2 linked regions of the Canis lupus familiaris genome follow. Each later gene encodes a partner of the first gene's protein in a complex. Links are inferred from orthologs where the notes say so. Each region holds a gene or a part of one and is shown on either strand. Other genes may lie near its edges. The genes, in order: NUP214 and NUP93.

Evidence for each region.
Region 2: NUP214 (region 1) and NUP93 share a complex: the UniProt entries of both Homo sapiens proteins name them as parts of the nuclear pore complex. The link is inferred for Canis lupus familiaris from reciprocal best matches to the Homo sapiens genes NUP214 and NUP93.

Annotation. Positions count from the first base shown.
Region 1 is NC_049230.1:53,017,237-53,025,393, reverse strand, and holds part of NUP214 (nuclear pore complex protein Nup214), read left to right. Parts: intron 1-1,925; coding exon 1,926-2,052; intron 2,053-3,154; coding exon 3,155-3,316; intron 3,317-6,198; coding exon 6,199-6,646; intron 6,647-8,157. UniProt on the Homo sapiens protein: Part of the nuclear pore complex. Has a critical role in nucleocytoplasmic transport.
Region 2 is NC_049223.1:58,737,799-58,745,294, forward strand, and holds part of NUP93 (nuclear pore complex protein Nup93), read right to left. Parts: intron 6,765-7,496; coding exon 6,648-6,764; intron 5,881-6,647; coding exon 5,762-5,880; intron 4,885-5,761; coding exon 4,767-4,884; intron 4,324-4,766; coding exon 4,240-4,323; intron 2,856-4,239; coding exon 2,727-2,855; intron 1-2,726. UniProt on the Homo sapiens protein: Plays a role in the nuclear pore complex (NPC) assembly and/or maintenance. May anchor nucleoporins, but not NUP153 and TPR, to the NPC. During renal development, regulates podocyte migration and proliferation through SMAD4 signaling.

The sequences.
Region 1 (8,157 bases):
TTTTTTATCAGGATAATTTATGTACATGACTAAAAAATGACGTAGTGGAAAGGATTTATAAAAGAAAAAAAAAAGATTACCCCTGCCTACTCCATCCTTATCCAGCCCTGGTTAGAGGGGAACTTTTTTAACTTGTAAATTTTTGCTTTTAAAGATTACCTCCTTATCCCTAAATAATCTTAAGGGCACCTGGGTGGCTCAGTTGGGTAAACGTCTGACTGAATTTTGGCTCACATTGTGATCTCAGGGTTGGAGATCGAGTCCTGTGTCAGGCTCTGCACTGGGCATGGAGTCTGCTTAAGATTCTCTCTCACTTTGCCCCTCCCGACCTCTAAAAACAAATAATAATCTGCTTCATCACTAGTTAACGATTATTTGTTTTAGACCTTAGGTGTTGTGGTAGATAACAATATAGCTTACATATGGCCCTCAAATCCTCCTTTCCCTTCAACGGGGTTACAGCACTGTTGTAGTTTCTTCTGCTGGTTACCTTTGTAACTGTAAGTAATACTTTTAATCTTCCATTTCTTAGTTATCACTATACCCAGTATCTCTTGACTCTCTACTTTGTGAGAGGAATACCTTCTCTCCCACTCTCGCCTTTAGCATACCTTCCCCGCTCCCACCTCACTGCTGTTCTCATCTGTAGCTTGTCTTTTGCAGAATCAAAACTGGTACTGTTGTATTCTGTTCTGTAGTAATTATTAAGTTTTCTTTATTTTGTCTATAGATTGTTTTTCTTTTTTTTAATATTTTATTTTATTTACTCATGAGAGATACAGAGCGAGAGAAAGAGAGAGAGGCAGAGAGAGAAGCAGGCTCCATGCAGGGAGCCCGACGTGGGATTCGATCCCGGGTCTCCAGGATCATGCCGTGGGCTGCAGGCGGCGCTAAACCGCTGTGCCAGCAAGGCTGTCCTATAGATTGTTTTTCAAACTTGATATCAACTTTATTTACATTATTATGAATGCAATTATTATTCACACCATAGCTAAGTCATGGAGTATGATTACATTCCCTTTCCTGAAGGGCTTTTTGTTTTCTCTCTGTTATTCATAGAGCATTATTTCCTTTTGAGTTGTGCTGCCCAGTTTTGGTCAACACTGAAAGTTAGACAAATGTGTGGTTTTTAAAAATCAGATCATAGGGATGCCTGGGTGGATCAGCAGTTGAACGTCTGCCTTCGGCTCAGGGCGTGATCCCAGGATCAAGTCCCATATGAGTGCTTCTTGCAAGGATCCTGCTTCTCCCTCTGCCTGTGTCTCTGCACCTCTCTCTGTGTCTCTCAGAGTGAATAAATAAAATCTTTAAAAAAAAATCAAATCATGTATTGGCAGGAATATAGCCCATTCAAGCACAGACATAAGCAGAAGAGTTTATTGGAAAGACTCAGTGGTTTCTCAAGAACCCTGAAGGCAGGAAGGGCCCCATGGGAGGAACAGATGCCAAGATCTGGGAGGATAAGAACTAAGGGTAATTCTGTCCATTAACAAGTGGGCATAGGGCATCTGGCCAGCCCTACAAGCCACATTGCTCAAGACCACAGTAGCAATCAACTGGAGTTCCTTGTGCCAATCCCACATTTCCAGGAGCAGCTAATAACTGTTTGGTGCAGGTATTAGATTTATCCACCACGTTTAGGAATGTACCTAGTTGGGGTAGACAGTACTTGGGAAAGTGTTCACGATAGTGGTTATTCACAAGGCAGGTACTTGGTATACCAGTAACACATGGGTTAATTTGGAAAATTAACCCCTCACTTGCTAGGATGCCCGTTGCTTTTAGACCATCTTTCCAAATTTCAGAGTCTGGTCAACACATAAATCTAAACCAAGTGAATTGTCTTCTCTCCTTTTTGAAATATGGGAGGACCATTGCAAAGCTCTAACCAACATAGCTTTTTCATCTTTACTTCTTTTTTCCAGATTAATTGGGAATCTTGGCTCCTAGAGGATTCCAGTCGAGCTGAACTGCCTGTGACAGACAAGAGTGATGACTCGCTGCCTGTGGGAGTTGCCATAGACTATACTAATCAAGTGGAAATCACCCTCAGTAAGTGTGGCCTGATGTAGCTCAGTGCAAAAGTGGTCGTGGTTGATATTGAAATCCTGTTCTGCGTGTTCATGACAGAATCTACTCTGCGGGGCACTTAACTCCTGGTAGTGCATTGCTACTTGAAGAATGATACAGAGTGCATTGTGACGCCACTAGATTAACTTGATTGACATTCATTGATAAGACAAAAGCCAGACTCTGTGCGTGTGTGTGTGTGCGTGCCTGTGTGTGTGCGCACCCGTGTGTACACTCACGCATGCCTATCTCTGTGTGCTTTCATGTATAGGTGAAATCTAGAACAGAAGGGTCTCATTGCCTTGTTTCTCCAAGCATTCCAGTTTCCCAGCGGCCTCCCACAGAAACAGCACCCTAGTTCAGTACTGCGTAACAGTGCTTGGTTTAAAGACACAGATCAGAGAATGGGGACCTCAAGCACTTGGCTTCCAGGGCAGGCCTGAATTTGTGCTATGAATGGGTCTTCTCTCTTGGAGCGAGATAGGGCTGCAGTCTGTGAGATGCACCAGTATAGTGGAACTCATGCCCTATGCTCTTTGGTACTTCAATTTAGAGAGGTGTCATTGTTGAGCACCACTAAGTTCCTTCCTGTCCTTTCCCTGGTAAGATTATTTGGTCTCCTTAGTTCATTTATTCTGAGTCTCTTCAAGTCCTAATTGACAAAATACATCTTAGGATTGAACTGTGAATGAATATAAAGTAGTTTGACTTACCTTTCTACGTCCTGTGTATTTTCCAAAGTGTGTAGTCTGTCACTTTTCTGCTAGGCCAGCCCCCTCCTAGAGACACCTGTCTTGGGACATCATGAACCCTGAGACACTCGTCAAAGTCTCAGGAGCTCAGGGACAGTCACAGCTGCCATAGGACTACTGGAACTTCCCTGCAGGGTCTGGCATGATGGTAGCCACTGAGAATGGCAGTAGTTCTCTTTCAAGAGCCAGTGCTCTCGAGGCTGTTCAGATATGAATCAGAGCAAACAGTCTTGAGCTACTGTTGGGGCAAGTCTACTATAGCCTTCTTGCTTAGAATAGTCTTTGCCTTCGGGACTTGGTTCATTTTTCACTTGTGCTTATTTTCTTAACAGATGATGAGAAAACTCTTCCTCCTGCTCCAGTTCTTATGTTACTTTCAACAGACGGTGTGCTCTGTCCATTTTATATGATCAATCAAAATCCCGGGGTTAGGTCCCTCATCAAGATGCCAGAGCGGCTCTCGTTAGAAGGAGAGCGACAACCCAAGTCGTCAGGTACGTGCCTCTTTCTGCTCTGTCACAGAGGGAGTGCCATGGGCTCGTTCTGGACCATCCCCAGGGATGAACACTGTGTAGGGACACATAATGATCCTCTTCCTTGAGCCAGTCTGAACGAAGCAGGGACTTTTCCTTGAACACACGCACATTCTTGCATCCTCTCACCCACAAGCTTTATTCTCCAACCTTTACTTTAGAGAAAAGGAAACTCAGCCAAATGAATCCCATCAGGTAATCTACCAACAGTATCCTGTTACAGCACCCTGTATCGTATGGTCTGAATCCTACCAACATGTTTAGTCCCAGAGGATTGGTTACATATGTCTTCGTATGTGCATACCGTGAATGCCACGGAACTTAAAAATGTTGCATTTGTTGACAAAGCTGTAGTCGAATGTATCATGAAAAAGCACTGTATGCTTTATGATTTCTTTCTCATTGAGAAAAAAATATGTACATAGGGAAAATACTAGCAAGTTGGATATTAAAATCTAAATAGTGGTTATGTCTGGGCAGTGGGAACATGGTGATTTTATTTTTGTTTATATTTAATTTACTTTAGGTTTTTCTCCCCTCCTCTTTGAAAATATTGCTTGAGTAGTATATGTTTATTGGAGGAAAATTAGAAAGTACACAATCATTTAAGAGCCCATCAGTCATCAAGCAATAGCCATAGTTATTAACATTTTGGTCCATATTCTTCATATACATAAATGCACACATGTAAACACTAATTTTCACAGTGACAGTATCACTTGTGAGAGCAGGGTGATGTTTACTTCTGAGCACAGTCCAGTGTGAAGGACTTTGCTCCTAGCCCATCAAATCCTCTAGCACAAGCAGAGGCTAGTTTTATTTTTTGCCTCATGCTTGGTCCAGAGGTGGTAGCCATGTTTAGATGAGCAGAAGAGAGCCATTGAAGGGGGAGAAAGTAGCCTGCCAGTTATAGCTAAAGCCCAGGGGGTAGACCCAGAAGACACAAATGGTTCTGCTCATTTTTACGCTACCGCTCCACATTTGCTTTGGTGAATGATCAGAAGTAGCAGTGCGGCAGTTTTCATATGTTCAGTTCTATTTTCAATTAAAGTGCCTCTAATTTCTTTCGGGTCCTATATGTACTCTTCATGTTGGTCTACTGAATGTGTGTGGAAGTGACAAATATCTATATGTTTGTGGTTTGTTTTTTGTTTTTTTTTAATATTTTATTTATTTATTCATGAAAGACACAGAGAGAGAGAGAGGCAGAGACACAGGCAGAGGGAGAAGCTGGCTCAATGTAGGGAGGGAGCCCGATGTGGGACTCGATCCCGGGTCTCCAGGATCACGTCCCGGGCTGAAGGCAACACTAAACCACTGAGCCACCTGGGCTGCCCATGTTTGTGTTTTTAAAGAAGTTGGTGGTTGCTGGTTCCCTATTTATTGTGTGAAAGAAATATTAACAATAAATTTGCTTGCATTATTATGCTTCCATAAAAGTGACAATTCACTGAGGTCTTCTTTTTTAGAAGTATTTTTATACTTGTAAGTGTTTCATTACTTTTGACATAGTGAAGGTAAATTTACAGCTCAGACAGTTTGGAAGAGTGGAGACCCACTAAAATAAGTTTATTGATTTAAAAAAATACTATTTTTTAATATATTTATTGAGTTAATTGAATTTGGCAAATTAACACATTTATAGAAAGTTGGGAAAATAGAAAAAAATTTAAACCTGCCCTCCTCTTCTCGTGTTTTTTTCATAAACATCTTTCTTCGTTGTTGTAATTCTATTGTATATACCATTGGTGTGTAGGTTTTTAATTTAAATTGTGTTTCTGTGTTCTTATATAATCTTTGTGATTCACATAAAAGAGTGCTTACTATTCCATTGAACATCTTTTAGCATTTGGGTTGTATTAAATGTGTTTTTCATGTTAGGTTATTTTTGTAGGCTTTATTCTTAGAAGTGGGATTTCTGAGTCTATTTTTTATGATTTTTTGAGACAATGCTAAAGTATTTTCTAAAAGATTATGCTAAATTTGGTGCCTACTAGTGATAAAAGTTTTCAGGTTCATGTTACCCTTCCAAGCATAAGGGGTTATACATATTTAAATTTTAAGGACAATAAAAAATATGCCTTATTTAAATTTGCATTTTTTTGATTACACACAGATTGAATGTATTATTTTATGAATTAGGTTCTCAGCTTATATCGTAGTCTTGGAATTTTTTTTTTGAAATTTCTTTATCTCAGTTTATGTGAGTTTTTTTAAAAATATAAAACATATTTGCTACAGATTTTTAAAATTTCATTTACCTTTTATGTAACTGTTTTTACACAGTCAAATCTTCATCTTTTCCTTTTGTGATTTTTTTTTTCTTTTGGTCACTTCTAAATTTCAGGTTGTTAGATTCAGTGACTTCACTCACTTTTTTGTCTCCTTTGTTTTGAGATGTATGTATACGTGAGCTTTTGTATACGTGGACATCTTTAATTTAGCTGGAATTGCTTTTAGTAACTGTTATGAAGTGGAGGTCTGAAGGGAAGTTTTTTCCTGATTGCTGTGAAATGTTGCAGAATGGTTTCTTTTTCCCTATAACACCGAGACACGCATTTTTCCTCTGGGATTCAGCTGTGTGTCCATGAAGTCCTGTTAACTTAATGCCTTTCCCTGTCTCTCTTTTCCTCTAAAGTTTTGTCCAACTTACTATGTGGAAAGTTTGCTGTGGCAGGTCCCCCATCAGCCCTGCTCTCTTTTCTCCCCCGCTCTTGAACTAGGACCTTTCTTTCTGTCTTCCCTCCGCTGCGAGTTTCTTTCCACTTGCTTTCTGCCGTATGGACCTCCACTGTTGCGGTGCTAACTTCTGTCTTCCTTTTTCTCCATTTCATTTACTGCAGGCAGTACTCCCACTACGCCAACCTCCTCTCAAGCCCCACAGAAGCTCGACACGCCAACCCCTGCAGCTCCAGTCTCTGGCCCACCTTCGTCACTGGCTGCCTCCCCCTCCACCTTCTCTGTGCCTTCTGCTGTTGGAGCCCCTGCCGTGTTCTCCTTTGGTTCTTCATCCTTGAAGTCATCTGGTTCTGTCCCAGGGGAGCCCCCTCCATATTCCAGTGGCTCTGTCGCATCCACCTTTTCTTTTGTTCCCCCTCCTCAAGCCTCCCTAGTGCCCACCCCTGTGGCCTCTCCCATGACACCATCTGCAACCTCGTTCTCCTTTGGATCCTCGGGGTTTAAGCCTACCTTGGAAAGCACGCCGATGCCAAGTGTCTCTGCTCCAAATATAGGACTGAAGCCTGCTTTCCCACCCTCAGCCTCTGCAGTCAAGGTCAACCTTAGTGAGAAGTAAGTAACACTTGAAGAAAGTTCGCTGCTTCTGTGGCATTAGTAGAAACATCACGTTGTTCCCTGGAAGTAGAGTCACGGTGGGTGGAGTTACAATAAATTTTTTCTTTTTCCTGTTTTCCAAAATGGTAACTGCAAATGGTGAGAATTCAAACATAAAAGGTTTGCATCTAATCAATGGATGGAGTCCAGGAGTCTCTTAGATAATTTTTTTTTAATCATTATAAGTTTATGTTTATATGCTGGTTTTTGCTTTTCAGATTTTAAATATAGAAGATATCCCTATCTTTATTTTGTTTTATTTATTTAGCTTGTTTTTTGAGAGAGAGCAAGCACAGGGAGGGGCAGAGGGAGAGGGAATCCCAAGCAGGCTCCACACCCAGTTTGGAGCTGGACTCTCGGGGCTGGATCTCACAACCCTGAGATCATGACCTGAGCCAAAATCAAGAGGCAGACCCCTAACCAACTAAGCCACCTAGGCACCCTGATAATCCTTATTTTAAAAAATGAAGCAATAAGGAATATACATCCTGGGTTGGGGGAGTGAATCTCTTAGAATCCTTCTGTCCCTTTACTCTGTGAACTGCTCTGTGACAGCCACTACGACGGTCTGTGAAGTTGTGCCCGTGTCAGGTGACTTCCCTGTGCAACAGTCCCCAGGGGCTTCTCACTGCTCTTCCTGGATAGTCCATAACTCCTTAACATGGTCCTCGGTTTCTTCCACGTGTGGGTCCTACCAGCTCACTCACATCCCATTTTGGACTTCTTTGTCTGCATCTTATGTTCTCCCTGCTGGAATGCAAGCCTTCTGCAGAAAGTGATCGCTGATACCCCATAACCCTCCCAAGCTTTCCTGCTCTCCTTTGCTGCCTTTTGTTGCCACGGAGGCAGTGCTGGCTGTCACCCTTGCTGCTGCCATTGTCACACAGCCACTTCATTCTAACGGCTGCCTAAGATTCTACTTTGTAGGGGAATCCCCTGGGTGGCTTAGTGGTTTAGCGCCTGCCTTTGGCCCAGGGCGTGATCCTGGAGTCCCGGGATCGAGTCCCACATCAGGCTCCCTGCAATGGAGCCTGCTTCTCCCTCTGCCTTTGTCTCTGCCTCTCTCTCTGTGTGTGTCTTTCATGAATAAATAAATAAATAAAATATCTAAAAAAAAAAAAAATTCTACTTTGTAGCCTCACTGTACTGTATGTGGCCAGTCGGCTCATGCTGGATAATTTAGATTGTTTACAGGCTTTTGCCCTGTAGGTAAAACTTAACTTTCCATGCCTATGAGCACCCTAAAGGTAGTGATCTGCTTTCCTCTGCCTTTCTGACTCCCCAGAGGAGGTGAGCGCCCCAAAGTGAGTTCTCAGTAATTTCATCGGCAGGACAATACTAGACATTCCTAAGTGTAACAGAGTCCTAGCCTCCTTTTTTTTTTTTTCCACTTGGTTTGATAGAAGGGAAAATAAATATTTCACAACCTGATAAACTTCATTTTTCCTTTATATAAAGAGCTCATTATA
Region 2 (7,496 bases), on another chromosome or scaffold:
AGATGAGGTTGCCAGACAAGCTGCCTCGCCTGTGATCAGTTCTGTGATCAGTTCTGACACAGCCCTGTGCTTCAGGCAGCCAACTCTACATCTCTGTCTCTCTCTGTCTCTCTCTCTCTCCTGGCTGGTTTCTGTTCACCTGGCTCTGTGGCGGTCTGAAGTTCTCAGGCCCCCACAAAGGCAGCCAATCCCATTCCAGCTCTCTTCCTCTCCTGCTTCTTTTCTTCCCTTTTCCTTTCTTTTACTCCTCCCATTTCTTCCCTTCTGACATAAGTGCTGGGCCCTCTTTTCCTAGGCAGTAGTAGTTATGAAATTCCTAGCTTGTTCTGGGAGGAAAAAAGATTTTAACTCAGGTGATTTCAGTAACAGGAAAACAAAAACAAAAATGAAAACGGGACAACCTTCACAGTGTCTTCCAGGTGATAAATCACTAAACATGGAATAAAGAAACTTACAAGAATAGCTTCAGGTTGCCCTATTTTGAGATGTGTTGGGTGCTTATAGCAGCTAGGAAGGAAACTGTATCTGGAGTAGAAAGGGAGAGTCTACAAACATCTCTTAGACCAGTAACAACTTTTAAGGAAGATCCAAGGGTCACTTACTAGGCTTCCTAAGAACTATTCAAAAAGAAAACTGAAAGCCAATTTTTTTTTTTTACCTGATATGTGAAATAAACTGGCAAGTATATGTCCTAATGACTGTCCAAACCAAAAGAAATTTTTAATTTATGATGAAAATGCCCATTAGATTTTCTTTAAAACTGTATTAAAGTACATGGGTGGGATGCCTGGGTGGCTCAGCAGTTGAGCATCTGCCTTCAGCTCAGGGTGTGATCCTGGAGTCCCGGGATCGAGTCCCACTTCGGGCTCCCCACAGGGAGCCTGCTTCTCCCTCTGCCTGTGTCTCTGCCTCTCTCTTTCTGTGTGTCTCTTATGAATAAATAAAATCTTAAAAAAAAAAAAAAAGTACATGGGCTTTCATGCCTGATTTGAAGCTACTTTAAATGAACTTTCAGGGTGTTCAGGCAAAGGGACTCACTCCTTAGGCAGGTAGTTTTTACATTTAAGTCTCTCCTTGATCTTACTCATCCCTATCTATCATAAAAAAGGAGTAGTGAGTGAGAGAAAGATAGGAGAATGGCTTTATTCGTGATAAAACCTAAGTGCTTTTTAAAGAAAGAGAACTTAAGACACAGAGAATGTGAGTTCAGCTGGTCTTAGAACAGTTCCCTTCAAATGTGGGAAAAGGGCCTGCCAGGTCACTGCTCTACTCTCTGTACAAGCCCTCCTCTGGCCCGTGAGCAGCACACGGAACATCAGAAACGTCCACCACTTCAACACTCGCCTGCCAAGGCCCAGGCACAGTGAGTCCACCGCTGGCATGTCTCCTGACATTTAGCTTCAGGCTTGTGCCTGTCCAAGGGTGCACGGCAGATCAGTAGCTGCCTTGGGGGCACACAAGGATAGGCCCACCACTGAGTGGACCCCTTGGAGCACCACCAGCTACACTGCTGAAGGTGAACATTTCCACCATCGCTCACTAGTCAGCAGTTCGGTTATGACAGTGCCTGCGGGGTCACAGCTAAGAAAGCCCACAAAGAACAGGATTTCAACATTAAGTGGGAAGTTAAGGGAAAGGGACTTTTAATTGTGTCAAACCCCTTGGCCCTTCTGTCCAATTTACTGGACAACATATGTTGTGTGAGTCCTAGGACTCTATCTACCTGGACTTGGCCTGCCCCACACAATGCTGGAGGGCCCACAGGCAGCAGAAAGGGGCACTGGCTTCATGTCAGATGACTTCGTTTTCAGATATGGCTCCTTCACCTCCACTGAAGGGGCCCACAAAAGGAAACTGCTTCCTGACTCTGGGCCTCCGTTTCCTCAGCTGTCAAATGGGGATAATGATGCCTGCCATAGGTACCTTTCTGGGGTCACTAAGAGCAGAAACAAGGGTTTGCATCAAATTCATGTGTTGACCAAAAGTACTCATGGTTCTGATGAAAGTGCTGAGCAGAGATTCATAAGATAATCTTCCTTTTTTATTTACTTATTTTTAAAAATATTTTTATTTATTTATTTGAGACAGAGAGCACAAGCAGGGAGGAAGACCAGAGGGAGAGGGAGAAGCAGGCCCCACGGAGCAGGGAACCCAATGTGGGGCTCAATCTCAGGACCCTGGGACCATGACCTGAGCCAAAGACAGATGCTTAACGGACTGAGCTCCCCTGGCACCCCATAACCTTCCTATTTTAAAATGCATAGGAAATTCCTACGGAAACATTAAGAATTGGTATTGTCTGATTTTTTTAAAGGCGATTATTTGCATGGGGTGCTTGGTTTGTGCTCAGGTCATGATCTCAGGGTGAGATCAAGGCCTGCGTGAGATCGAACCCTGTGTCGGGCTCCACAGTACGCATGGAGCCTGCTTAAGATTCTCTCTCCTTCTGCCCCTGCCCGCCCACCAGAAGCTCACATGTACTCTCTCTCTTAAAAAAAAAAGTGGTATTTGCAGACTTCACATCTGTTTGTTTTAAAGCTTGAGAAGAACGGCCATGCCATTACTGTTGGACTTCTTCTGAGAGACTCCTGACACAGGGTTTACCCAGCTGCTAAGCAGTAAGAAAACAGAGCATCTGGGGCTTGAGCAGGGTCATGAGGTGGCACGGGACGGCAGACCAGAAAGGTGGTTCTCAGCGATGGTTCTGGCCACCGCTGGGATCTTACAGAGTCACGGTCCTCGATGACTCGCTGGGGCCTGGATGCCGAGGATGGACTTGTCCCCTTGAGCCTCTTAAATTGTGTGAACAAGATGTTCATGGTGGCGAGAAGCACTTCTGAGAGGTTGTGCCTGACCTGCACAGAGGAAACACACAAAGTGAGGAGGATGAACCGGCCTGGGCACACCACAGCTAGGTGGCTACTGGGTCACCAAAAGGAGCCAGTGGCACTGAAACGGCAAGCATGAGAGCAAAGCCCAGGCTTCCTAGCTGAGGCAGGTCACTCTTCTGCTCCTTTCTTTATGCCATCCCTCCTAAGTGGGGCAGTGGCCCACAGCATGCTGCCATCTGGCCACTATGTACGCAGATCGACCAGCAGAGTGCCTGCCGACACAAGTCTGGACTTCAGTGTCAGCACGTCAGTTCTCTAGTCCTCAGGAGCCCCTCTATCTTAGTATTGCCAGACTGTCTCCATCAGATGTGCATAGCCCTAGTAGAGTCCTTGGGGCTGTCTACAAGGGACGCCCTGGGCACCACTTTAGTCCTGAACGCAATGAATACATTCCATGGAACGCGAGAAACAACAAAAGGGCAAGTGGCTGGGGTAGAACTGACAGCAGATAGGAAGGGCAGGTGGGCAAGGGGCAAGACGTTCTACATTTTGAGTACCACAGCAGGTAGCCTCCCCAGCACATGTGCAGAAGGTGGCCTTCATTCTTCCTCTAAAACAGAAACATGTTTGCATAAAAGGTATTTGCTTCTGGAGTTTAACACTTTCAAATGGAAACACTGTTAATGACATTAATGACATCCCAGAAGCAGACAGTGGGACCTGAGTGTCTAGGGTTCCAGAGAAGAGTTTTACCCCAGCTGCATGTGGGAACAAGCAGACAAGTTCTGGGCCAGTCCAGATCAGAGAAACTACAATTTCAGGGGCACGGGGTAGGGGAGGGCCTGGGCATGATGATTTTTTAAAGTTTTCTTAGTAATCCCAGTGTGCAGCTCAAATGAGTACCCACAAGCTAGATGGTGGCGACGTGCTAGAAACCTTTCAGAGACAGTGGCTCTGGGGGTCATGGGCTCATGATAACTGTGTCTATGGTCAGTGCTCTGCTTCTCAAGACAAAATAGTTCAGAGAAGGGAAGGAAGGAAGTGTATCATGGTGCAGGTTTCATACACTCAAGGGAATTACTTAAAATCAGAGTTAAGCACCAAGACCCTCTAGAACAAGTAGACAATACAAAATTAAAACAGATTTCACAGGATCAACCAGAAATCTGTTCCCCCAAGGAAATGTCAAGTAACTAAAGTGACTGTTCTGCGTCAGGAATCTGGACAATAATCTGATGGGGATATGTTTACTCACAGAAAAACCAACCCAAGATACCTGAAATTGGACTCGCCTTAGAAAACTCAGTCTGAGTGGTGTGAGGGCTCTTAATGTTATCAGCTACATTAAAACAAAAGCTTTCAGCAGAAGTGGGGAAAAAATCCATAAGGCGAGAAGAAAAGGACTCACTTCATCACTGAAATTTCTGAAGGCAGCCACTCTCTCTTCCACACTTTCCTGATTCAGGGGCACGAGCTTCAAACGATCAATTATCTGTTTAAAACAAAACCCCACCAGCCCCATATGATACAACCATCACAGGCATTTCATCTCCTTAAACAGACGGTTGGCATCTAACATGTTAAAAATGGCTTAAGAGAAAATGCTGCTCCCTCATATACACAAAGGCTCTGATTCTAATTTGCTAACTTAATTCTTGACCTCATTTTCTGAGACAATTATAAAATTCAGATATTTTAAGTTACTCTGAGAAACCTCCACTTTCAAACTAATGGGAAAGGAATAGGGGAGAAAAAGAAGAAAAAAAGAGAAACACAGAAATCCCTTTTCAATTCCCAGGATCATGCTTGTCTTCTTCGCTTAGCAGGTGAAGAATGTGGTAACACTTCCTTTGTTTTAAATGAATCCCATGATGGGCTTTGAATTTCCAAGGGCATATATTAACTTGCACTTCAAACATTCCTCTTGAAACTTACATCAAAGGCTCTGTCGATATGACCACTGTGATACTCGTCAAAAAAGGTGATCAAGTCCAACAGAAGATAGAATGTGGAGTCCACAAACTTATTTGCACTGATTCCCTGAGCCCTATACCTGAAAGACAAAAAAGCAGCAAGGGGGGACAGAAATTATGAATTTCTGTACAAATGTCTAACTTTAAAACATTTGAAAAAAGCCAAAAAGCTCGTGAAATCTCTAGATGAGGTGAATTAAGGTGTGGAAAGTAGTGTTTCTTTTTAAATGGCCACGAAGTTGATGGTGGATTTGGTATGACTCCATCTGTAAATATTTTGCATGAACCACGGTCCTCTAGCCCCAGCTACCATCTCAAGCATCCAAATCTACAGGAAGGGTGAAAGGTTCTGATGGGCCAAAAGCCCAGCAGCCACCACTGGAGACTGTTTGCTAAATGGATTATTTGATAAGGAGTGTTCTGTGCTACTCTAGGAATGCATCTCCAACCCAATTTTCTCTGGTTCACTTTTTTAGGAGTATCTGTAGAGGGCACAAAAAGTAATGACTATTGCCTCAGCCTGGGAGTTCCATCAGTTAAAGTCTGATAACTCAGTTATCTCACCGAGGAAGAAAGCCAGATTCTTAAACATTGGCCACTACCACCTTTAAGAATTCCATCCAGCCATCACTAGCTTTGTTCTGAAATGTCTTTGAGACGGTTGCTAACAGTATATTGATGAGTACAATGCCTAGAATTAAACCCAATGTGCAGGATTAGAATGTGAGATATGCTTTCATACCCTTCTTTCTAGCAAAACTCTCAAAGTCTGATAGTATCAAGTATTGGTTATGATGTGGGAAAACAGGAAGTCTCAACAGTGCTACAGGGATGGGGAGTTTCTGGGAAACTACTTGATGTGACTGGTAAAGCTAAAGATGGATTTGGTGGGCACTGGCACCCTGGCAGCCTGGTACGGGGCCCCCACAGAGCCTGGGAGCCAGCTCTCAGCCTTACCGTTCAGCAATGGAGAGCGCCATGTTCTTCAGCCTCTCCTTGTTGGACTGCGGTGCGCTGATCTGGGGGACGACAGGGCTGAGCAGTCTGTTCATCAGCTCCAGTACCTTGTCAGCATTCTGCTCAATTTTTTTTAAAATTAAGGAAGGACTTGATTAAATAATCAGCAAAAGGCAAAAGGGAAAACCACCAAAAGAGGGAACTTTCTGAGATGATGGATAAAAATGGTCCTGTATCTTTGATCTGGATGATGGTTACAGATATATACCTACAGAAAATTCACCAAGCTGTACGCTTAATGTTTGTACATTTACCTACATCTTAATGAGAACTCAATCAAAACATCTTTAAATTCAAGAAAATGAATTATAAATCTTCTTTTGGCCTACTTTTCTCAGTTTATTAAAAAGAAAAAAAAAGAACATAATCTTTTTTTGGGCCACACAATGATCAGTAGTCACCATATGTTATGTCGACATACTTATTCTAGTTCTCTCCAAACGCCTTAGCTGTCACTCCCTTCCCTAACACACAGTGCTCACTAGCATGTCTGCGGCTACCAGAAGGGTGAGCACGAAGGCATTTTCACCCAAAGCTTCACCATCAAAATGTGACGGACGCTTATTCTGCTGCCAAGTCAGACTAGAGCTCAGTGCCTGCAGGATATCCTTGCAATACATTCCTCTTGTTTGGCCAGAAATACCTTGTGGGCAGGAATAATTCTGTAAAATGGGAATTTCACCCTGACAGGACCATTAGCTGCCTAAGCACTAGGAGAAAAGGCCTCAGCAGGAGAGTGGTGTAGCAGTGGTGTCATCAAAATGTTTGTGTACTGAATGCCAAAAGGCCGACATCTATTAAGGAGAAAGAAAAGGGTATACTTTACCTTGGCAAGGTCATAGAGCTTTGCTGCTTCTTCAAACAGTCCTTTATTTTCTGCCACGGAAGCAACTTTGTTGATAATAGGCTTTGTGTCACTAGTAAACTTATCTATGACTCCAGGCTGACAAGACAAATTATGAAGGGGGAGGAGAAGAGAGGTGCACAGAGATGTTACTTTAAACACAGAGAAGCAGTTGGGATCTGAAAATTACTTTCACTGAAAATGTTTGCCCTGGGCAATGCATATATGTCATCAGCTAGACACTGGCTTTCTTGAAGATGTAAGGTCCTATTAAACATATGAAAGGGACCAAGGAAACGACACATGAAGGAGAGTCAGGGGTGGCACAGAGGAGCCAGCAAATAAGACATCTGTGCTTGCTAATTGTCCAAGATGATCCAGAGGGTAGGAGAAATAGTCAATGATCATACATTTGCTGATGAGTAGGCACTAGGTGGAAAAATCAGGAGGCTCAGAGGAAATATCTGAAAGATTTTGGATTTGCTTTCTAAGACAGATGGCAAAAGAAACTCAGTGCTGAAAAAATACGTGGCAAGGGGTGTCAGGATATAATTTTTTTTTTAAATCACCATCCACATTCATCAGCAACCAAATGGTCAGGAGTATGTGAGAAGCCACAGGAAGCATGGAAGAGCTAGGGCGGCCAGAGTGACCTCTGTCTGGCTGTTCTGATTCTCCCTCAGCACTGGACCTAGTAGGGGTGACTTGTTCCTGCCACCCCAGGGGCACACAGGAGAAGAGTGAAGGGCATGGGCTCCGGGTCAAGAAGGCCTGGGTCAAATTCCAGTTTCCCTTCTTACTAGCTGTGTGATCCCGAAGAAAATAACCTTT